Linked DNA regions of Canis lupus familiaris. The protein of the gene in region 1 interacts with the protein of each later gene in a biochemical or structural test. Links are inferred from orthologs where the notes say so. Each region holds a gene or a part of one and is shown in the gene's direction. Other genes may lie near its edges. The genes, in order: ARF6, CYTH1, CYTH2, HTR2A and ARFIP2.

Evidence for each region.
Region 2: the proteins of ARF6 (region 1) and CYTH1 form a complex in vitro, tested with the Homo sapiens proteins (2 studies listed by BioGRID and IntAct, with this or other methods). The link is inferred for Canis lupus familiaris from reciprocal best matches to the Homo sapiens genes ARF6 and CYTH1.
Region 3: the proteins of ARF6 (region 1) and CYTH2 form a complex in vitro, tested with the Homo sapiens proteins (3 studies listed by BioGRID and IntAct, with this or other methods). The link is inferred for Canis lupus familiaris from reciprocal best matches to the Homo sapiens genes ARF6 and CYTH2.
Region 4: the proteins of ARF6 (region 1) and HTR2A form a complex in vitro, tested with the Homo sapiens proteins (2 studies listed by BioGRID). The link is inferred for Canis lupus familiaris from reciprocal best matches to the Homo sapiens genes ARF6 and HTR2A.
Region 5: the proteins of ARF6 (region 1) and ARFIP2 form a complex in vitro, tested with the Homo sapiens proteins (2 studies listed by BioGRID). The link is inferred for Canis lupus familiaris from reciprocal best matches to the Homo sapiens genes ARF6 and ARFIP2.

What each region holds. Positions count from the first base shown.
Region 1 is NC_049229.1:26,667,805-26,672,569, forward strand, and holds the start of ARF6 (ADP-ribosylation factor 6), read left to right. Parts: upstream 1-1,631; 5' UTR 1,632-1,793; exon of another isoform or gene 1,794-1,893; 5' UTR 1,894-2,379; coding exon 2,380-2,907; 3' UTR 2,908-4,765. Other genes in the region: uncharacterized protein LOC119876490, read right to left, coding at 984-1,595. UniProt on the Homo sapiens protein: GTP-binding protein involved in protein trafficking that regulates endocytic recycling and cytoskeleton remodeling. GTP-bound form plays an important role in the transport of multiple palmitoylated proteins form the Golgi to the plasma membrane.
Region 2 is NC_049230.1:3,507,350-3,511,992, forward strand, and holds the start of CYTH1 (cytohesin-1), read left to right. Parts: upstream 1-1,756; 5' UTR 1,757-1,888; coding exon 1,889-2,015; intron 2,016-4,643. UniProt on the Homo sapiens protein: Promotes guanine-nucleotide exchange on ARF1, ARF5 and ARF6. Promotes the activation of ARF factors through replacement of GDP with GTP.
Region 3 is NC_049222.1:108,468,062-108,471,405, reverse strand, and holds the end of CYTH2 (cytohesin-2), read left to right. Parts: intron 1-1,593; coding exon 1,594-1,672; intron 1,673-1,886; coding exon 1,887-1,958; intron 1,959-2,056; coding exon 2,057-2,211; intron 2,212-2,302; coding exon 2,303-2,390; 3' UTR 2,391-2,569; downstream 2,570-3,344. UniProt on the Homo sapiens protein: Acts as a guanine-nucleotide exchange factor (GEF). Promotes guanine-nucleotide exchange on ARF1, ARF3 and ARF6. Activates ARF factors through replacement of GDP with GTP.
Region 4 is NC_049243.1:4,415,380-4,419,974, forward strand, and holds the start of HTR2A (5-hydroxytryptamine receptor 2A), read left to right. Parts: upstream 1-1,628; coding exon 1,629-2,040; intron 2,041-4,595. UniProt on the Homo sapiens protein: G-protein coupled receptor for 5-hydroxytryptamine (serotonin).
Region 5 is NC_049242.1:30,303,321-30,307,733, reverse strand, and holds the start of ARFIP2 (arfaptin-2), read left to right. Parts: upstream 1-1,405; 5' UTR 1,406-1,556; intron 1,557-2,314; 5' UTR 2,315-2,356; coding exon 2,357-2,455; intron 2,456-2,711; coding exon 2,712-2,808; intron 2,809-3,571; coding exon 3,572-3,690; intron 3,691-3,873; coding exon 3,874-4,095; intron 4,096-4,413. Other genes in the region: TIMM10B (mitochondrial import inner membrane translocase subunit Tim10 B), read right to left, coding at 630-806, 948-1,043, 1,219-1,263. UniProt on the Homo sapiens protein: Plays a role in constitutive metalloproteinase (MMP) secretion from the trans Golgi network. May have important functions during vesicle biogenesis at certain cargo subdomains, which could be predominantly utilized by secreted MMPs, such as MMP7 and MMP2.

The sequences.
Region 1 (4,765 bases):
GATTAAAAATAGATTTAAAATATTTAGTACAGTGTTTGCCATTACAAACAACAAATGGTGACTATTTTTTTTATGAGTGATATTATCCTTCGTCTGATTTTACAGATAAAGAAAATGAAGATTAGGAAGGTTGAGGCCTAAGGATTCACAGCCATAAAACGGACAGGCAACACTTTGAACCCTAATCTTCTCACTCCAAAATCCTTCCTTCAGTTTTATGACAGTGGAAAGTAAGATGGATCAAGGCAGATGGAAAGTAAACTTGGATCAGTCAGAATATTAACAACTCCAGTAAGTTTATTTCAGCTGAAGCTTATAAGGTTATCACCTGACCCATCTACCATTATCAAATATTCTTATATTATGAAACAAGTATGTTATCATATGCTTCTATAGCATCTTCCTTAAAAAATAACAAACCCTATTTCCTGTTTTTCCTCCCCTTGGTTCCTTTATTTTAGGCTTCGCCTTACTTTAAGTCTAACTTGATCTCTAACTATTTGCTACAAAAAAGTTTCCGAAAGTCTTCCACAAACATTTTGTTATTTACTCTGAAACGGAGTACACAGAGCAAGGTCGGCACTACACTCGGTTTACACATGAGATAACAAACTTAGCAAGGTTAAATGCCTTAGATCCAGGTCACAAAAGTAGTCAGGCTTTCTGACTCTAAACCCTAGTGCTAAGATTATTATTGTCTGGGATTTTTAAAAAAATACTTTATTTATTTGTTCGTTCGAGAGAGAGAGAAAGAGAGAGAGAGAGAGAGAGAGAGGCAGAGACCCAGGCAGAGGGAGAAGCAGGCTCCACGCAGGGAGCGCAATGCGGGACTCGATCCCGGGTCTCCAGGGTCACGCCCTGGGCTGAAGGCAGGCGCTAAAGCGCTGGGCCGCCCAGGGATCCCCTCGTCTAGGATTCTTAAAGAAAAGCTAGGTGGTTAAGTTACTGCTCAACACACTAACTTAAGTATGAAAAGTTATCACCTTAAAAAGTTGAAAACGCAGCAAGGGACTGGAACTCTGGTTAACACTGTCATTTTTAAGTAACAGGGTCTGGTCCCGAAGAGATGTGTAAGACAGGGCTCGAACACCGAAAAGCGGGGTTTCCTGGCAAACCCAAGCCTGGTAGAAGCGCCGCACTGCTTGGCCGACTCCACACCAAACGCGGGCCTCCCACGTGTCTTTCAGGAAATGCACAGAACACGCGGGATGAGGGAGGCCAAGGACGGGCTGGGAGACGTACAAACAGCATATAGGGCTTTCCCGGGTGACTGAGGACGCGCGGAGGCTGGGGCGGGCCCAAGGGAACTCGCTGAGCACCTGGCGGGCACCGACGTCCGGAAGCAGCCTGGGGGAGGCTTTCACCGCGGGAGAGGGCTGGCCGCGGGCCCCGCCCTCGGGAGCTCCCCAGTGGATTTGCCTGCTCTGGTTCGAGAGGGCTGGGGGAGGCGAGAGCGCGCCACAGGGACGCAGAAAGTCCGCGTACAGCGCCAGGCGGGCACGGGTCAGAGTCCGAGTTTCGCGGGTCTGGGGCCTGACCGCAGCCGCGAGGCCTCCAGGCCGCCGTAGCCCCGCCCCCTCGCGCGTGGCGCCCATGACGCTGGGCGCGCGGGCCGCGCTCCTTACAGAGCTCGCTCTCACCGAACGGTCGGCCTTGCTGCGCCTGCGTGATCGGGAGGGGAAGTGAGGCGGTTTCTTCGGCGCCTTTTCCGGCGGCGGCGGCGGCGGCAGCGGCAGAGCTGGGAGGAGGCGGTGGAGGCCAGAGGGAGCCCGCGCTCAGGGCGGCGGCTTGAGGTAACCTCGCGAACTGAGCTGGAAGGACGAGTCACCTGGGCCTCCGCTCCCTTCTGGCCTGCCGGCAGTAACTCCCTTCTTCCTCTCTGTGTCTCTGCAGGCGGCGCACCGGATCCCGGCGAGGATCAATGACCTGACGAGGCGCCGGAGCCGCGCTGACTCTCGGGTGGCCTGGGTCGGTGGTGAGCCCGGTGCTCGTGGACCGGCGGGTGGGCCGGAGGGCTTCGACCTCCCGCGGCCGAGTGAAGAGAAGGCGGAGGAGCGGGAACCGCGGCGGCGCTAGCGCGGCGCTTGCGGGGGGAAGGGCAGTTCCGGGCCGGGCCGCGCCTCAGCAGGGCGGCGGCTCTCCCGGCGCAGACTCAGGGCCCCGGCGGCGGCGGCGGCTGGAGGAATCAAGTTGTGCGGTCGGTGATGCCCGAGTGAGTGGCGAGCCTGGGCCTCTGCCCCGAGGAGGCAACTCCCACGCAGGCCGCACGGGCGCCCTCGCGGCCGGGAGGCTTCGTTTCGGTTTCGCGGCGGCTGCGGCGTAGTTGGCTGAGGGGACCCGGGACACCTGAATGCCCCCGGCCCCGGCTCCTCCGACGCGATGGGGAAGGTGCTATCCAAGATCTTCGGGAACAAGGAAATGCGGATCCTCATGTTGGGCCTGGACGCGGCCGGCAAGACAACAATCCTGTACAAGTTGAAGCTGGGCCAGTCGGTGACCACCATTCCCACAGTGGGTTTCAACGTGGAGACCGTGACTTACAAAAACGTCAAGTTCAACGTATGGGATGTGGGCGGCCAGGACAAGATCCGGCCGCTCTGGCGGCATTACTACACCGGGACCCAGGGTCTGATCTTCGTAGTGGACTGCGCCGACCGCGACCGCATCGACGAGGCCCGCCAGGAGCTGCACCGCATTATCAATGACCGGGAGATGAGGGACGCCATAATCCTCATCTTCGCCAACAAACAGGACCTGCCTGATGCCATGAAACCCCACGAGATCCAGGAGAAACTGGGCCTGACCCGGATTCGGGACAGGAACTGGTATGTGCAGCCCTCCTGTGCCACCTCAGGGGATGGACTCTATGAGGGGCTCACATGGTTAACCTCTAACTACAAATCCTAATGAGCATTCTCCACCTATCCCCCGGAAGGAGAGAAATCAGAAACCCATTCATAGGATTATCGCCACCATCACCTCTTTCAATTGCCACTTTCTCTTCTTTTGAATTTGAACTCTGGAGTTACTGTTCTACGGTTGGGGAGGGGGGGGGGGTTTAGGGGTTTCCTTTTTTGTTTCTCTTTCTCCCCCCCCCCCCCCTTTTTTTTTGCTTTGCATTAGGATGCTCCGATCTGACATTTGACATGACCACAAAGTGCTAGATGCTCTTACTGACTTCCAGCAAATGGGATGGGGGAAATATAGCAGTTTTTGGTAAAGTCCTTTATAATAATGGTTTGATTTTTTTATTTCGAGAGAATCTTTTTTGCAATGTATGCTTTTTTCCTTTTTGCCCAGTTTCCTTATCACTTGCTGTAGATGGCTTATTTTGCATTCATGCAGACTATGTTGCAAGTCTGTTTCATCTAGTAAACTGAAAATTATTGCTTAATCAAACTGCCGTTTGTCTTTTATATTTAAGGCCTTTACTCCTCCCTTATGAGTTTTACCTTTAACTTAGTAATTTCAAATGTGACCTTTTATATCTAAGACCAGTATAGTAAACTTAGCCTACAGTGGCAAATAATGAGTAATATCATTGTAATATGTTCCAGTTGCACATCAGTATGTTAAACAGGTAATGTAAGAAGTTCTTTGAAATGTCAGCTATTAAGTTCTGAAACATACATCATGCATGAGTAGGGCTAAAACGCAAGTTCCTTATTACATAGCTAACTTACACTGCATAAAAAGATGAAAGTGTAACCCGTCAACAGATTTTTTTTCACTGCAAAAGTTAGCAACTTTGCTGTGTTTCCCTCTTTTTTAACTTTAAAAGTAGACTCTTTCCAGAAAATGGAGCAATAATGGTGTAGGCCACACACAGATGAGATATCTGTAGATATTTTCAGTGACATTGGGGCAAAACTGGAATATATACTTTTACCACATTTCAAATGTCTAAGACCAATACTTTAAAAGTTACTAGAATGTTTACTTTGTTCATTAATAAAAGCGTTTAACAATTCAAATTATACACATTTTCTACCTAGTTGAAAGAATACACATTCCTGTTTTCACATTAGAGCAACTGATTAAGCTGAAGATAGAAGTTTTTTTATAATTGAGTGATCCACATCTCCATTAATTAGAACACTGGAAAAGATGTTTTATAAAAAAGGTATTTAATTCTGTTTGATTGTAGGATTAACTCATACAAATAGATCTCCTGTTGGTTCATTAATACACTATCTCCTTTAAGGAAGGAAATGTGATGAATGAATGATGTGTAGACTTGAGAAATGACAATTAAAGGGGAAGTAGGATGAAGAAAGAACCTACAGATGACAATGAATGTAAACTTATTTTTCTTCAAGGGTAAGCAGTGTGCTCACTGGTGATATCCAGATCCTAGCAAGATTACTTGCTTAGCTTGTTAGGACCCGTAACTAGCTTATCGAGACCACTATGATGATACCTTGAACCAAATGTTAATGCTTGATACAGAATTGTGAGCAGCATCTGGTTCTCATATAGCCTTAAGGATTAATTTTAGAGATCCTCAAGGAATTAAACGTAGGGAATTTAAGAAATGTAGACTGCAAAGGCAGTATACAGGAAAAGGTGGAGTGGGTTTTGTTCAGGAGGGTGTCTGAAAACTAAAATGGAGCGGGATATCATGGTACATAGTTGGACAGTATTGGTCCTTCGTGCTTTGGCCATATTGTATAATGGAGCTTTTACCAAAGATGTATGAGAAGCATAAGGTATAAAAAGTTAACTATTGAAAGTAAAACTCTGACACATTTTACTTAAAGCAGAT
Region 2 (4,643 bases), on another chromosome or scaffold:
TGGAGACCCGGGATCGAATCCCACGTCGGGCTCCCGGTGCATGGAGCCTGCTTCTCCCTCTGCCTGTGTCTCTGCCTCTCTCTCTCTCTCTGTGACTATCATAAATAAATAAAAAAAAAAAAAGAGTTGAAATACCCAGACTGAGGATCTGTTCAGTGGAGGAGGGTTTGTCTGGGGGCCAGCATTGTGCCAGTGCAGAGACGCAGGCAGGCAGGCCTCTGGACGTGGTCGTCTCGCGGTCGGGGGAGAGCCCGGCAGCACCAGGCATCCAAGGGCCTCCATCTGAAAGTGCCCTTCCTGTCCCAGAGAGCGCCTCCTCACCCGATGGTCAGTGTCTGCGTCCTTCAAGATGAGACCCAGGGTGGTGGTGGGCCCTCCCCAGGCCTAAGCGCCAGAGAACGCCACTAGGATTTTCTGGAAGGCCACACCACTTCTTTGGACTGCCCACGCTCCCTCCGTGCTCCAGTCCTCCGCTTGCCACATGGTGACGTACGTGTGACTCCTAGCGCCCCTTGGGACCCCGGGGCCGTGGTGTGACCAGGGAGGCAGGTGTCCTCACCTCCGGGCCCCAGCCCGCAGCACGTTCAGCAGGCGTTAGCTTGAGTTGAACACCCAGGGAGGACTCCAGCCTTTTGGATGAAGGCAGCGTACTCAGCACTACCTTTATTAAGACATCTGAGTGGGGTGTGTGTGACCGGTCGCTAGAAAACGGGGGGCGGGTGGGCTGTCTCAGGTTTCGGGGTGAGGAGGCCCGGGGAGGGGCCACCCGGGGCCCCGAGTTCAGTCTCTTCCCGGAGCAGCGGCCGTGGGCACTGAATCCTCTCACCGGCGTTCACGGCGAGGACTGCAGAGGGGACAGCCAGTGCCCTCCGTGTCCCAGAGCTGCGGAAGGACCGGCCTGCCTCCAGTCTTCATGCCGGGTGGCTTGTCACTGGGGCTCATTCTGTCTCCTTGGTGGTGCCGGCGGGGACCCCTGCTCTGATGCTTTGCATGGTGCTGCCCTAACCCCGCCACGCCGCCTTCCAGCCGCTGCATCCTTAACCGTCCTCGTCCTCCCCGTGCCAGTTCCCACGATGCGCCGGTGTAGGGACAAAGGTCAAACCAGTTCTAGTATTAAGAAAACCATCTCAGAAAATAAGAAAGAAGTATTGGCAGGTATCAGCAGAGCATGGCCCACTCTGTGTAGATCATGAATTTCCCTCTTTTCTCCCCATATATGTTCAAAACGTAATTGAATTTACTGGCAAAAATGGCCAATTGTAAACCTTTAAACAGCCTCCTCGTGTAGCCAGCAGAGGGCAGCACAGACGGCATTGACTGCATCATGTATTTTTTACTTTATTTTAAAAGGCGTCTAAAACTACTATGCCAACTACTTTCCGTACAGTTTGTCTTCTTCTTCTTCCTTTTTTTTTTTTTTGTAAGATTTTATTTATTAATTTGATAGGAGAGAAAACAAGCAGGGGGAGAAGCAGAGGGAGAGGGAGAAGCAGGCTCTCCGCCAAGCAGGGAGCCTGATGCAGGACTCGATCCCAGGAGCCCGGGATCATGACCTGAGCCCAAGGCAGATGCTCAACTGCTGAGCCACCCGGGTGACCCCCTCATTTGAATTTTTTGTAACACATATGTATTTTCTTTGTCCTCAGCCTTTTAAAAATTTTTCAGTTATATTATTTTTTATTTTTTGGCAAGATCCATTCCTGTTTGTGAGGAAAAACAGTACAAATCTGTATTTTTCAGGTAACCCAAGCAGAAGTAACTTCCCAAAGAGTTTGCAGTACTGCCAGGTGCCTGTGGATTTTCTTCTGCAGAGGATTGACGTCTTTGTCACCCTCCAGCCCAGCGCACAGCTGCTCTTCTGGGAGTCTTAGGACACTCGCATGGTTCTATGCCCCATGCCACTCTCGCCCTGGCAGCTCATCAGGAAAGATCTCAGCTGCAGAGGAGGGGTCCATCAGGAAGCAAAACCACTTACCCTCACATCCCAGAAAGGCTGCAGGGCTCCGTGGGCCTCTGTGAGTGGAGACAAGGGGTGAGGGTAGGGATTGGATGAGGGTGGAAGGTGTTCATGGCAGGCATGAAGGCTCTCAGGTCCCCTCCCCACATCCTGCAGCAAGGCAATGTCTCCTCCACTTTTGGTGGAACACAAAGGTTTGATTTCTGGAGAGCGCTATGGCGGCACAGGGAGAGTGAGCAAAGGTGTGTGTCCTTCGGTGTGGCCGTCCCACCCTTTCTCCCTCCACCTGGCGGCCCGGCTGCTCTGCCCAGGTTTGTAGCCCACACAGCCCAGGAAGGAGGTTGGAGGATGGCTCTTCAGGCTGATGGGAGAGAGAACCCACGGAGCCCCTCGCGGTCCGCGTGTTACCGCTTTCCTGCTTTAAGGGAGACCCAACGCTCCACAGGCCGCACCCACCACACGCCTTCTCACCAGGCTGCTGGTGCTGGCCCTTAGATGTGGAGGGACAGCCCACATCTTCACATCTGCTAGTGTGTGCCTGTCCTCGCCAATGTGCCGGCGTTTGAAAAGATGTTTGAGGAAACAGATTGTAGCAGGGCATTTTAAAAGCCACATACCTAGGAGTCTTAGATGTGATGTATTAATAAAACAAGAATAGGATGCTATCCAAAAGGAACATTCGGAGATTAAGAGTGGGCTCATGCGAGTTAAAAACAGCCAAAAGAAAACAATCCAGAGACTGGAAGATGAAGTAGAGAGCTGCCCCAGGGCAGGCCGTGACAGCACCACACACTGGGTGGTGTCTGCAGCGCTCTCTCGGGTGTGAGTGCTGCGGGTGTGAGACGGGGAGTCTGAGCAGGGCCGGCATCGGTGCTTCTTGCTCCCAGCTCCCTTCCTGGCCCCCAGGAGCCTGTCGTCCTGCTGTGTGCTCTCAAGGTATGAGGTACAAGGAGAGCCAGTTGGCCTCACTGGCCTCTTCCTGGACGGCCGCCAATCCCACACATGTGTGCTCCTTCCTCACGGCTTGATTGCCTCCCAAATGCCATCACGTTAGGGTTTCAGCACGCAGATCGGGGGTAAACGCTAACATTGAGTGCCTTGCAAGAATACTTCCTAGAAAGTGGTTCCACAAGGAGATGAAAAGTAGGATTCACAGTGGAGGTCCAGCGTCTAACAGAAACTCTAAACGGTGAGAGCTGAGAAAAAAGGGTAGGACATCATCAAAGATTATGAGACTTGAGAGTTGGGGTCTGCCTAGGGGCTAGCACAGTGTGTGCAAACGGACCCACACCTGGACACTGTGTTACAAAACCACACAGCGCCAAGGGTGAAGACCCTGAAAGCCTTCAGAGCAGGAAGATGGTCCCATAGAAAATTCTGGGGTTGGAATGGCACGGTCACTAACAGCACTGTGGGAGCAGAAGGCAGTGAGGGAATGCCTTCGCCATCGTGAGGAAGCGATTTTAACTTACAGCCCTGAATCCAGCCAGAGTGCCAGTCGAGTGTGGGAGGAGGACAGGGGTATTTCTGGACATGCAAAATCCACAGCAGTGATGGAAACCCATCCCTCGTGTCCTTCTTAGAGGATATGCTCTAGCAAAAGAAGGGATCCAGGAAGGAAGCACGGAATGAGAGAAACGGGAGGCGGCGTTTGGAAGAGGCAGAGGGAATTGCCAGGGTGCTGCTGTGAAAGCAGCAAGGCCGGGCCGGGAGGAGTGTGGAGGTTTTTGGAGGGCTGACCCAGAACTGGGTTGCTCCTGTTGACAGCGTCATACCTGGTGGAGAGAGCTTGGCTTTCCATCTGTAAGGCAGAGAGCTAAGCACACAGACACAAAGGAGACACTTCACGCCACTGCGTGGTAATTTCAATCCTAGTACGTTGTGTAGCTAAGCTGTGAGCAGTGTTTATGGAAGTAATAAACACTGATTTAACCCAAACCTCACGTGTAATTGTACGGAGCGTGTGTCAGGGCGGGGAGGGTGGGGGTCAGAGCTGAGTCTTCCTCTTCCATGGCAGGCAGTTGCTGCCCAGAATTGAGGACTCGGGAGCAGGTAGTGTGCTTGTGATGTGTGGAAGCAGGGAGGTAATCAGCAGAACAGAGAGCTGAAGGAGCCTACCTCCACGGAGCAGGATGCGAGCGTGGGGGCTGCAGTTGGGCAGGAAACTGTGGGTTGCTGTTTTAAGCCATAGGTACTGTTTGTTTTTTTATGTGATGTGTGCACGTTATTTTGGTTAAAGAGGAAACACTAGACACAAGGGGTAAGAAAAGCCTGGGGGGGCAGTGGGGTCGCATCCAGGAGGGTCTTGGAGCTATGATGAGGAGCTGAGACCTCGAGGCAGCGGATGGGGCCGTCGCAGACGTCCTTACCCTGCCGAGTGGCTCCTGGAGCTCGTGCCTTGGCGTGCAGCCCCCCGCCTGTGCCGTCGGCCCTCTCCGTCCTGCTGTTGTGGAGGCTGCCCTGCCTGCTGGCCTCCACTGGATCTGTCCAGGAGGCTGGAGAGTCCGAGGAGAATGAGGTCAGGGGGTCTTCTCCCTGCATGGTGGCTGAGGGTTATCCGGGCCCTGTCCCAGGGCCTGTCCGGTAGCCCCTGCAGCCGGCCGCCGCCTCCCGCAGACCGCAGGTGGGTAGGGCGCTCAGTCCTGATCACCCTGGGGTGCTTCACTGAGGCTTGAGAGCCTCCCCG
Region 3 (3,344 bases), on another chromosome or scaffold:
CCATGCCTGGGGATGGTGGGTACCAGGGGAGTGCTAGCTGTGGCTCTTTAGTGAAGAGGTAGCGGATGGCTGCTCCGGAGACACAGGGAAGCTGAGGAGGAATAACAGCCAGGAGCAGACAGTGGAGGCTGCTGGAGCAGCGGGAGGGCCCAGTGCAGGGATTGGAGGGGCGGGGCAGGCAGGGCTGTGTTCCCTGCACCGTGGAATTTTGCTCTTGAGCCAAGACCTGGCTTCCCCAGCAGCAAGCAGGGCCCTGACTGGGTGCATAGATGTCCTGGTAAAAGTGTAAACTGCTCTTTCTAGCCCACAGCGAGTGGCCAGATTCCTGCATCAGCCCCAGGGGTGGGGGCCAGATGAGTCCAGAGTCAGATTTCTCTGGAGGCCAGGAGGTGCCCCTAGCCAAGAGGGTGGGAAAGAGGAACTCTGGCAGGGCAGCTTCCCAGGAGCTAATTCCCCTGTAGACCTTTCCCACCCACAGGAATGCTTCCCATTTCCCAGATGAGGACTTTAAGGCTTGGTCACTGTCCAGCAGCTACAGGGCAGGGGTGGCTTGGGGCCCAGATCTCTGACCAGAGTGTAGCACATGTTGAACTGGATCAAAGGAGGGGGGGGGGCTGTGTTCACCAAGATGCTTAATGAAAGCCGTTCTTAACTGTTACTGTCTAGTCCCTTGGGGACCACAAGGAACCTAGAGGCAGGTCGTCTTGAGGTGGGAAGGTATGGGTGCAAGTGGGTCTGGAGACTGGAGCCCAGAGAGGGCAAGAGGTGGCCCTGAGGTCACACAGCCAGTTTGTCCTGGAGCTCACATGGGTCCCCACAGCCACCTCAGGCCAAGCACCGGGGGTTTTGTCCTCTTCCCTTTGGGATGACCTTCTGGGGGTGAGATCTCTTCCCTCTGGCAGTGGAGGGCCTTCCCAGCCGGCTGAGGACCTGTCCCGGGGGTGGGGAGGCACCAAGCAGCGACACCAGGAGGTGTTGGGGGGGCTCAGGATCTTCAGCCTCCCCAGGAGGGAGAGGGTCATGTCGATGTAACTCGTTTTCTTCCTTCTCTTCCCCCCTCCCCTTCCCTCTCTCCTTCCCTGCGTCTTCCTCTCTGCCCTCTCTCTTTCCCACCCCCCTGTGCTTTCTTTCCCTGGCCCGCCCTCTTTCTGTTGCCTGCGGCTTTGGGGGGCACCCCATTCTCTGCCTTCCCCTCTCCTCGCCTGGTCCTGCCTGCTTTCTCGCTGTCTGCCCCAGGAGGTAGGTACGCTGCCGACCTGACCTGACACCGACCTGACACGGGAGGGGCTGCCAGGGGCTGCCATGGCCCTGGGCCATAGGAGGGGGCTGGGCACTCGGGACTCGGACTCCCAGGCTCTGGGCAGACAGGCAGGCTTAGAAAGTGCGGAGCCCCACGTTGGGGGTGGGCGGGATCCTGGGGGGGGGGGGCCTGAAGGCCTGTCCCTGCTTGTCTCTCTTCCCCCGCATTTCTTCATCCCAGGCCCTGCCAGCCCCGCCTTCCCTGCGCTCACTCTGCCTCTCAGTCCCCTCCCTGCCTCCCGGAGGCCCTGTCCCCCCTGTTGAGCCCAGGCCCCCTCCCACCCCTTCCCTTTCAGGGGGCCGGGTGAAGACGTGGAAGCGGCGCTGGTTTATCCTCACTGACAACTGCCTCTACTATTTCGAGTACACTACGGTGAGGGCAGAGCTGGGCTTCTCTCTGGGGTGCTGGGAGGAGGGGCTGGGGGTCAGGCTCTGGGGTCTGAGGGAGGAGGGCTATACCAGTCCACTAGCGCTGCTGTGACAAAGTACCACAACCAGTGACTTGAACCACAGGCACTGCTGGGGTTGGGGAGGAGGAGCTGAGCAAGGACTGGAAAGTCTGAGTCTTGTCCACCTTGTTCCTTCAGGACAAGGAACCCCGAGGAATTATCCCCCTGGAGAATCTGAGCATCCGAGAAGTGGATGACCCCCGAAAACCGGTAAGACCCTCTCTGTGCCCCTTCCTGCCATGGTGGCACCTCCTCTGGGCCCAGGGCCAGCTCTGACCTGCCATCGCTCTGTTCTCATGTCTCCCCAGAATTGCTTTGAGCTTTATATCCCCAACAACAAGGGGCAGCTCATCAAAGCCTGTAAAACAGAGGCCGACGGCCGGGTGGTTGAAGGGAACCACATGGTGTACCGGATCTCGGCCCCGACACAGGAGGAGAAGGAGGAGTGGATCAAGTCGATCCAGTGAGCCTGGGCTCCGGGGTCCTTGGGTGGGAGCAGAGGGCGTGGGGAGCTGGGCTCCTTGGCCCTCACCCTGGACCCTCCCCTTCTGCAGGGCAGCTGTGAGTGTGGACCCCTTCTATGAGATGCTGGCGGCAAGGAAGAAACGGATTTCTGTCAAGAAGAAGCAGGAGCAGCCCTGACCCCCGCCCCCAACCCCATTATTTATTACGGAGCTGCCCCACCCGGGTGGCCGGACCCCTGGGCCCTGGGGCTGCGGATCCTGGTTCTCTGTTTGGAAAATTCACCACCTCTAGCTCCTCTCTCGTTATTTGTAATTAACACACTGTTGGTAATCTTATTAATTATTTAACCACTCGCAGCCTTGGACCCCTCCTTTCTTGGGGTCGGCAGGGCTGAGGGGCTTGGGCTAGCCAGCCAGGTGGCCCATGCATGCCAGGGGCCAGGAGCTCCAGTCTTTGCTGGGAGCTCTTATGGTACGTGAGGAACATGCTGTCAGAGGGTGCAGCCACGGGGGCGGGGAGCGGGTCAGCTCCCATATCTGTCCCTTCTGGTTTTACCCTGAGCTTGCAGGCCAGGGTAAGGGAGGGAGGAGTATAATGTGGCATCAGTGGGTGTGGAGTTAGGATGGCGTGGCATTGAGCATGCAGGTGGGCACAGGTTCTGGGATGAGGCCCAGCATTTGTAAGTTCTGGATTTTACTTGACAACCAGGAGCTGCACAGGTGCTGGTGCTCCCCACTGCTCTCACCTGGCTTGCGTCTTGGAGGGCGGCAGGTAGTATCTGAGGGGTTATGAGTGAGGCCAGTGCTTGGAAGGGGAGTAGAGAGCTGTACGAGCTGTAGGGCGACCTACTGTGGGACCACAGGGGATGGATGAGCCCGGAAAAGAGGAGGCAGGCCTTGCCGACTAGCTGTCCCTGGGGCTCGGCAAGGGGTTGCTGGTATTTGAAGTGGGCTGGGTGGGAGTGTGGGATGGGGGTGGAGGACTTGGGGCCAAGAGGCTAAGACTGTGGTCTGGTTGAGCCAGTTTCTCAGCCACCAGACTCTGGTCCTCTGGGGACTTTACACCAAGCAAGGATAGCTCTGGGAACCTGCGTTATTATATCTCCTGTCTGGGGAATCAGCCTCTGAAGTG
Region 4 (4,595 bases), on another chromosome or scaffold:
GCTGAGCCCTGGGCGGGAGGAGGGGGGTCGCCGGGCTGAGCCCTGGGGGGAGGGTACCGGGTTGGGCCCACGGGAGGGGAGGTAGGGGGGAGTGGTCGCGGGGCTGAGCTCATGTGGGCGGGGGGGGGGGGGTCGCCGGGCCGAGCCCTCAGGCCGGGAGGGGGGAGTGGTCACCCGGCTAAGCCCTGGGGGGGAGGGGGCGCCCAACTGAGCCCGGGGGGGCGGGGGTCACGGGGCTGAGCCCACGGGAGGGGAGGAGGGGGCGCCCGGCTGAGCCCACTGGGGGGGGCGGAGAGGGGTCGCCGGGCTGAGCCCTGGGGGGGAGGGGGGAGTGGTCACCCGGCTGAGCCCGGGGGGGGGGAGGGGGGAGGGGGCGCCCAACTGAGCCCGGGGGGTGGGGTCACGGGGCTGAGCCCACGGGAGTGGAGGGGGCGCCGGGCTGAGCCCTGGGGGGGGCGGAGGGGGGCGCCCGTCTGAGCCCTGGGGGGGTCACTGGGTTGAACCCAGCGGGGGAGGGAGGCCACGGGCTGAGCCCACGGGAAGGCGGGCAGTGAGTGGTGACCCGGCCGAGCCCAGGGGCGGGGAGGGGAGGTGGGGATCTCCGGGCCGAGCCCACGGGCGGGGGCGGGGGCGGGGGTGGGGGCGGGAGCCCGCACGCCCAGACCGCGCAGGGCTGCAAGCGGCTCCACTCGCGCCTGCAGTTTTTGAAGTCAGCAAAACAGAAATCCAATTACCGCCCCATTATGCTGCGTGACGCGGGCGGAGCAGGGCCCGCGCGGCGGCCTCAGGAGCAGGGCAGCTGCCGCGAGCCGCGGGACGGCGGAGCCGGGCTCAGGTGCGGCCCCCGGGGACGGCCCTAAGCGCCCCGCCGCGTCGCATCTCCGAGCGCACCTGCTTGCTCTCCGGCTCGAGACGGCGCGCGGCCAAGACGTTCCCAATGTCAAGGAGGATTTCCCCGCGTGGGAAGTTGTCTGCCCCTGTTTGCTCGCGACTGCTGCTCTCCTCCTGCGCACCGGGCACGGTGCGAGCCGCAGCTCCCGACGGCGGCCGCGGCGGGTGAGCCCCGAGGCGGGGACGGCGGCCCCGAGCACCTGCCGCGACCCGGGGTGTCCGGACCTGCGGGTCCCGGAGCCGGTGGTGCCCCCGCCCCCCGCCCCCCCCCGCCCGGGAGCGCAGCCGTGCCCGGACTGCGGAGGCCCAACCAGTGGGGCCAGCGTCACCGGCAGACCGAGGCAGAGCCCATGGGACGCCTGGAACCACAAAACTTTTCTTTTCCGGCCGGGATCCCAGCGTTCTTTCTCCCTGAACGCTCGAAACTCTGCAACGTCTGTGTTAAAAAGTTCAGTCTGCTTTTTTTGACCTTGCTTTGAAGGAAAAAAAAAAAAAAAAAAAAGGAAAGAAGTGAGACCCAACAAGACTCCACTAACGTTGTGAAGGAAGGAGATCCAAAGAGTCCCTGCAGTTCAGCTCCCGGGGGGGACAATGGGAGAAAGGAGGCGACCGCAGGAGCCCAGCAGGTGCGCCCGCTTCCGTGTGACAGAGACAGGGGACGGGGAGATGCATGGCCAGCCGAGGCTCTAACTTGTTACTTTCTCTGGACTTCGTGTGCTACGGATTCCGGCTGAGACATGGATGTCCTCTTTGAGGATAATGCTCCTTTGAGCCCAACCACCAGCTCCTTAATGCCGTCAAACGGGGACCCAAGGCTCTACGGCAACGACCTGAACGCTGGAGACGCGAACACTTCGGATGCATTTAACTGGACAGTGGATGCAGAAAACCGAACCAACCTTTCCTGCGAGGGCTGTCTCTCGCCACCATGCTTCTCCCTACTTCATCTCCAGGAAAAAAACTGGTCGGCTCTGTTGACAGCGGTCGTGATTATTCTGACCATTGCTGGAAACATACTCGTCATCATGGCAGTGTCCCTAGAGAAAAAGCTGCAGAACGCCACCAACTATTTCCTGATGTCACTTGCCATAGCTGATATGCTGCTGGGTTTCCTTGTCATGCCCGTGTCCATGCTAACCATCCTATATGGTGAGTGGCAGCAGCCTCCCAGCTGTACCCGCCGGGTACACGCAGCATGTGCATGCTCCGAGCAGATGAGCCGGGCCCAGGGGCCCAGCTGACCACCAGGGTTTATTTATAGACCAGGGGCTCCCCTGTCACACTACTCCAATCTCAAAGTGAGCTTGCACGTTCGAAAAGCTCAGACAACCTATTATCACCGGAGAGTGTTGTGCTTTGGGACAAGGACACTGTAACGTAGTCACTTTAAGTGCCCCCGACAGAGTCGTCCGGCAGTAATTTATCTGTCATCCTGAAGCCACTTGCTTTCCGCCTCTGTGTATGCCCAGATCTTCCAGCCTTCAGGACAGAACAGGTGGTTGTTGTTGTGGTTGTGTCTTTGTCACACACAGTTTTCAGCACTTCTAAAGGAGTAGGTAAGACCTTCCCAGGTCCCTGGGAACACTAGTGGGACACAGTTGGGTTTAATGCTAAGATATGCACCCTCTGCCTTAGAGTGAATGAATTATTCCGGCTTCTGCTGTCCCCCCTCACCCCCCAGTAGCTAATTTGGAAGTTTGCCTTTGAATGACCCCCTCAACTCGTGGAGAATAACCATCTCCCATCAACTCCCCGCAGTGTGTCTGGGAGGAGGGTGGAAACCGGTGAGGAAGGCACTGATGAGTCCTGCGCTCTCCACCAGCCCGGGGACAGTCAGACCCCTCAGCAGGGAGCAGAATGCCATGCTCTTTTCCAGTTATGAGCAATACAGCCTGATTTCTTTCAAAAAGAACATTTAGGGAGGGGAAAAAATATATTTAGGCTGCTGACACAGGCCCGTAGCCGTCACCCGGAGCTAGAAATGCTTTGTAAGAGCTGGGTCTTGGGGGGCTCAGAATACACAGGTGTATGCATCACCCGAGCGAGCGGAGAGGAGGAGGGGGGTGCAGGGGGGAAGGAGAGGGGCAACGGGGAGCAGGTGCCGGGTGCACGGGGTGGAAAGCGCTCCAGGCAAGGCCAGCCCCCCCTCCCTGCTGCACTGCTCAGCCTTCACCCCAGAATGATTTCATCAAATTCGCCTGTGGTTCCCAGACACGCCTCCTAGACCTCACCGCCGCGTCCAAGGCAAAGCCCGGGAGTGGGGCCTGGCTCCCAGGGGCCCCGGAAGGGCACCTAGACCGCTGCAGGGGGGATGGGGGGCCGGGCCGCGGGGGGCGGGGGGGCGCGACCCCGGGGCAGGTGAGGAGCAGAGGCGGCGAGGCCCGCTCGGGGTGCAACGGCGCCCCCTGGCGGCGGGCGCTCGGCAAGCGGCGAGTGGCAGCGGGAGCCGCGCCCCCTCCCGGGACCGCCCCCCACCCACCCCAGCCCGACTCCCGCAGACCTGAGCCCCAGGGCCGACCTCCGCTGCGAGCTCACCGAGGGCGGCGAGGCTCTCGTTTCAGCTCAGGTTTGTGCGTGTGGGTGGGTGTGCAAATATAATCAGAGAGAAGGGCCTTAAGCTAGGACAGCGTGCAGGATGCAAGCCTAAGCCTAGCTGGGGGCACTCGGGAGATGGGTCTGCAAACGCAGGGGTCGTCCAGCCTCGTGGGCCTGGGCTTGTGTAAAGAAACGGCGACGCTCTGTGACCTGCCCTGTGTCAGGTGCTCGGTGCAGCATGCTCGCTGGCGCGGCCACCAAAACACTTTGGGTTTGTGGGACCCCTTGGTGCCCCTCTACATCAACGACAGGGCACGTAGCATATGCATCGTGCACCCGCCTCCTGTGGTGCTTCGCGTATTGGCATCCTCGGGGAGCTTTGGAATACTTGGGGCCCAGCTCTGCCCCCCTCCTGAGCACCGGAGGAAAAGCGCTCCCGCTGATTCCAGAGTGTTACCCCCGGGCCAGCAGCCCCACCCGCAAACGTGTTAGAAATGACTCTCTCCTGCCCCACTGCACAGTCCAGAATCACAACCTCCGGGGGGGGGGGGGGGGCAGCAGCACCATTTTATTTTATTCTATTCTATTCTATTTTATTATTTTATTTTATTTTATTATTTCATTTTACTTCATTTTTTTACTTTATTTTATTCGTATTTTATTTTATTTTTTATTTTATTTTTATTTTACTTTTACTTTATTTTTTTTACTTTTACTTTATTTTATTTTATTTTTTATTTTATTTATTTTATTTTATTTTTATTTATTTTATTTTACTTTTACTTTATTTTTTATTTTATTTCATTTATTTTATTTTTTATTTTATTTTACTTTTATTTTATTTTTATTTTATTTTACTTTTACTTTATTTTATTTTTTATTTTATTTTTATTTTTTATTTTATTTTACTTTTACTTTATTTTATTTTTTATTTTATTTTATTTATTTATTTATTTATTATTTTTTATTTTTGTTTTATTTTACTTTTACTTTATTTTTTATTTTATTTTTATTTTTATTTTATTTTATTTTATTTTTTATTTTATTTTTATTTTTTTTCTTTTAATAATACATTTATTTTTTTATTGGTGTTCAATTTGCCAACATACAGAATAACACCCAGTGCCCATCCCATCAAGTATCCCCCTAAGTGCCCGCCACCCAGTCAC
Region 5 (4,413 bases), on another chromosome or scaffold:
AAGCCCCGCATCTGGCTCCCTGCTAGGCCCGGAGTCTGCTTCTCTCTCTGCCCCTCCCCCTGCTCATTCTCTCTCTCTCTCTCACATAAATAAATAAACAAAATCTTTAAAAAAAAGAAAGAATTAAGTAAGATGCACCTGGGTGGCTCAGCCATTGAGCGTCTGCTTTTGGCTCAGGGTAGGATCCTGGGGTTCTGGGATCAAGTCCGGCATCGGGCTCCCCACAGGGAGCCTCTGCTTCTCCCTCTGCCTATGTCTCTGCCGCTCTCTGTGTGTCTCGTGAATAAATAAACTCTTTACAAAAGAAAAAATTGTACCCACAGGCCTTGTTTTAACCAGGTGCCAGGAAATGTTGAGGTTTTCCTTCTACACATAGAAGCCAATTTCTCCACTGCCAGGGCTGAAGCCAACAGATATGCGCTGACAGGATAAAGGATGGGGCCAATAAAGCGGGCAAAGCTTCCGTGCCCAGAACATAAATCAAACAGTGCAAAAGTGGGTTTATTGGCTCCAAGAAAAGGAGCAATACTACCCAGCTGTCAGACAACCCCTCACTCTATATATGGGCTGCATCCAGCCCAAGGTCCACTGGCTCCTTCAGTTTGAGGGTCCATCCAGCGCCTCCCTTCCTAGCTGCCTGATGGTGAGGTTCCGGGCTGTTCTGCAGCAACACCTGGCCCAGCTGAGGCAGCCTCGTAGTCTGCGATGCGGCGCTGTACCAGAGCCGGCATGAGCTGCACGTAAGCGGCCATGAGGCGGTGGTTGGAATGGATCAGCTTCCCAGCACAGCTGTGCAGACAGGCCTCCTGGAAGGAAGACAGGGTGAAGCATTGGTGTCCACTGGTGTCCGTCCCATCCCTGGCCCAGGGGCAAGGGTCATGGAAAGGCCCGGGCCAGAGGTAGGGGCGGTGGAGGTTGGGGACAGTCTACGGCGAACCCCACCTAACCTCTTCAGCGTCCAGAGCTCGGTGGTGCAAGCTGGGCACGCAGCGCTGGAAGCAGAGTTCCGTCATCCGATTGTAGACCAACAGGAAGTCCCGCAACTAGGAGAGAAGGGGACAAAGAGCCCAGCGATAAGGGGGCACCTCGAGGCCGCGCCCTCGAGGTTTCCCAGGACGGCGCGCCAGAGCGCGACGTTCCCAACCCTCCGCCCTCCAGCCAAACGGACGAAGATGCCAGCTGAACTGATGGCCCCGTCGCGACTTAGCACCCACTCACGTTCCTCAGCTGCTGCTGCTGCTGCTGCTGCTGCTGCGGCTCCATCGCGCCACCGGCGCACGCACGTCACTTCCGCACAGCCTCTTGGTAACGCCCCGGAAGTGACCTCTCCTGGCTCCCCGGGGACTGAGGGGTTGCCTCAAGGATCGCCCCGCCCCTGGCTTTAACGTCATCTCCGCCCTTATAGTCTGCGACGTGGCCGGCTTCTTCTGCCCGGGAGGGGACGTCACTTCCGCCGAGTCCCTGACCTGCTGCTAGGATCGCGACGGGAACTGGAGCCCGAGGTCCCCGCGCGGCCCGGGCCTGGCGCCCTGAGGGGAAGAGCGGCCCGGCCCGAGGTGAGAAGGACATACTTGGGCAAGGGGAAGTTGAATGCACGAGCCTGCCCCGAGGGAAAGATGCTACAGAGCCCTGGGGAAGGATGAGGACACACCTGATGCCCAGGTGTGGGGTGGGGGGGGGGCGGGGACTAACACACCTGGGGGACATAACTGACTTTGGAAGGGATCACTATGTGCTGGGAAAATGTGGCTTTTCCCAGAGGCCAAGAACGGACACCAACTGATTCAACTAGGGCCTGCAGGGGGAGGGCTGCAGGAGGAGGGGGTGCATGGGATGGAGGAGGGAGAGACCACCTGAAGGAAAGGGGAAGCAACCCTAAGGGAGTGTGAGAGGCCAAGCAATGGAGAACATACCAGAGCGGGAGGAGTAGGCTCCTGAGCCCTGGAAAGGGGTTAATCTGATGGGAGGAAACAGCTGCATGGGGGTAAGTTCCAAAACAGCACAGACTTTCTCTCCCTTGGCCACTGCTGTGACCTCAAATAGTAGTCTGTTGAATGGTTGAACGCATGAGTGATCACCTGAGTCCTGGTGGGGTTGGGGGTCCGTGAGAAGATACTGGGGACCTGGGTGTGCATGTGGAAAGATACACACCCTGGAGGGGAGAAATACATATCTACGAGAAGAAAGGAGTGGTGGCCGAACCCCAGGATACTCAAGTCTTGGGACAACCTCTAAAATCTCTGAAATGGTGGGGGAGACTTTTCTTTCGGGAGTACTGGCTAGTTTCCAGAACTGTCTGTGTTGGGCTTTGCAGGGCGCTGGGGTGGAGACTTTGACTCCAATCCCTTCCCTAGCCATGACGGACGGGATCCTAGGGAAGGCAGCCACAATGGAGATCCCCATCCACGGGAACGGTGAAGCCGGGCAGCTTCCTGAGGATGATGGGCTGGAGCAGGTGCTTCTGTTTGATTCTTCTCCATATTGTTTCAATTTAGGAGTCCAAAATCATAAGCCCTGGGCTCTCACCCCATTCCAGGAGTTTTCCCCTAACTTATCTAACTCCCTCCAATCTTTACATATCTTCATTCTGATTCTATGCAGACTTCCCTTGTGTGCTCTCTCTGTGATGCTTCAATCCAAGCTTGTTCTCACCCCCCAAATGCTTCAGCTGCCCCAATGTTCCTGAAGCCCCCCTCTTCTCTGGCCTATAGGACCTCCAGCAGGTGATGGTGTCAGGACCCAACCTCAATGAAACCAGCATTGTGTCTGGTGGCTATGGGGGCTCTGGTGATGGACTCATCCCCACAGGTATGAATGATCAGAACAGGACAGGAAGCTTGAATGGACAGAGGGAGTGGAATGGTTCTGGGGAGTATAGGATATGCCTAAGATAGCTTGAACTATGTCTGGAGATTTTGGGAACTCTTGCTAGTACAAGCCCAATGGACTCTACTCAGCCCAAGGCTAGAGCCTAGGGCTGTCCAACTGCTCCCGCTTGCCATTTAGCCCTGAGATGTGTCCATTTGTCCTTTCTTTGCTGCCACCACCTGAATCACATTACGAACTGTTTTGCAGAAGTTCTCCTGCTTTGGAGCTTGAGACTTATTTGGAACTCTGAAGCTTCTCAAAGTTTTGCTTCAGATTCTCAAGTTTAGAGAAGCAAATAGCCCTGAATTTCACACTGACTAGGATTCCACATGAGAACGTCAATGAGATTTCCTATTGTCAGGAACCCACCATCCTTGACCTGCCACCCAATACTCAGCATATTTTCTTCTGTTTTCTCTGCCCCTGTACATCAGCAACTCCCTCCCTCCCCCCACTCCAGCCCCCATCACCATCTCAGGAGGAGGCCAGATATATATTGGGATTTGGGTTTCAGGGCACAAGGTATGAGTTCTTCCTAGTGAGTAGGAGAATTTCTAGTTTCTGCTACTTCAGAGAAGTCATTTTCATGGTGGGAAGTCGGTGGAAAGTCATTTCATAGTGGGGTCGGTGGGAAGTATGGGTGGAGCCACAGAGATGTCTGGTTATATCAGAGAGGCTGGTGTCAAAGAACTTGGTTCTTTAGGGTCTGGCCGCCATCCATCTCACAGTACCACTCCTGCTGGCCCGGGAGATGAGGTGGCTCGGGGCATCGCTGGAGAAAAGTTTGACATCGTCAAGAAATGGGGCATCAACACATATAAGGTGGGATTTAAGCACCTTTCCCTTTCCCCTTCCCCAGACTTCCCCTGGGTACCTTTTCCCCATCTTCCAGATTCCACTCTCCCATCCTTGTCTGAGACGAGGAGCCTTGGGATGCTAGGGTAGATACCTGTTGGGGGGGCAGGGTGCTAGGGTCTCTGACCTATTCCCCCACTTCCCAATCAGTGCACAAAGCAGCTGTTATCAGAGCGATTTGGCCGAGGCTCCCGGACTGTGGACCTGGAGCTAGAGCTGCAGATTGAGTTGCTGCGTGAGACGAAGCGCAAGTATGAGAGTGTCCTGCAGCTGGGCCGGGCACTGACAGCCCACCTCTACAGCCTGCTGCAGACCCAGCATGCACTAGGTGACGCCTTTGCTGACCTCAGCCAGAAGTCCCCAGAGCTTCAGGTGCCTTGGTCAGGCCAAAGAGGGTGGGGGGACTGGGCCCGGGCCCTCCCAGGCAGTCAGCCCTCAGCCTCCCTCCCTCCCTCCTGCAGCCCAGAGGGAGAACCCCTCCAGGGTAGGCCCAGCCCTACCCCCAGCAGCACTCACCTGTGGAGGCAGCCTAAGGGTTTGTACAGAGGTTCAGAAGTTGGAGGGGTGGGGGAGGCGGCACACTAGATGCCTCACAAGTAACCCTTCTCTGCATCGGTGCTCGGCCTAATCAGAGCCCCCCTCCCCGCCCCTTGCCTGCTGCACTAGCTTTCCCTGTTCTCGTCCTGTGAA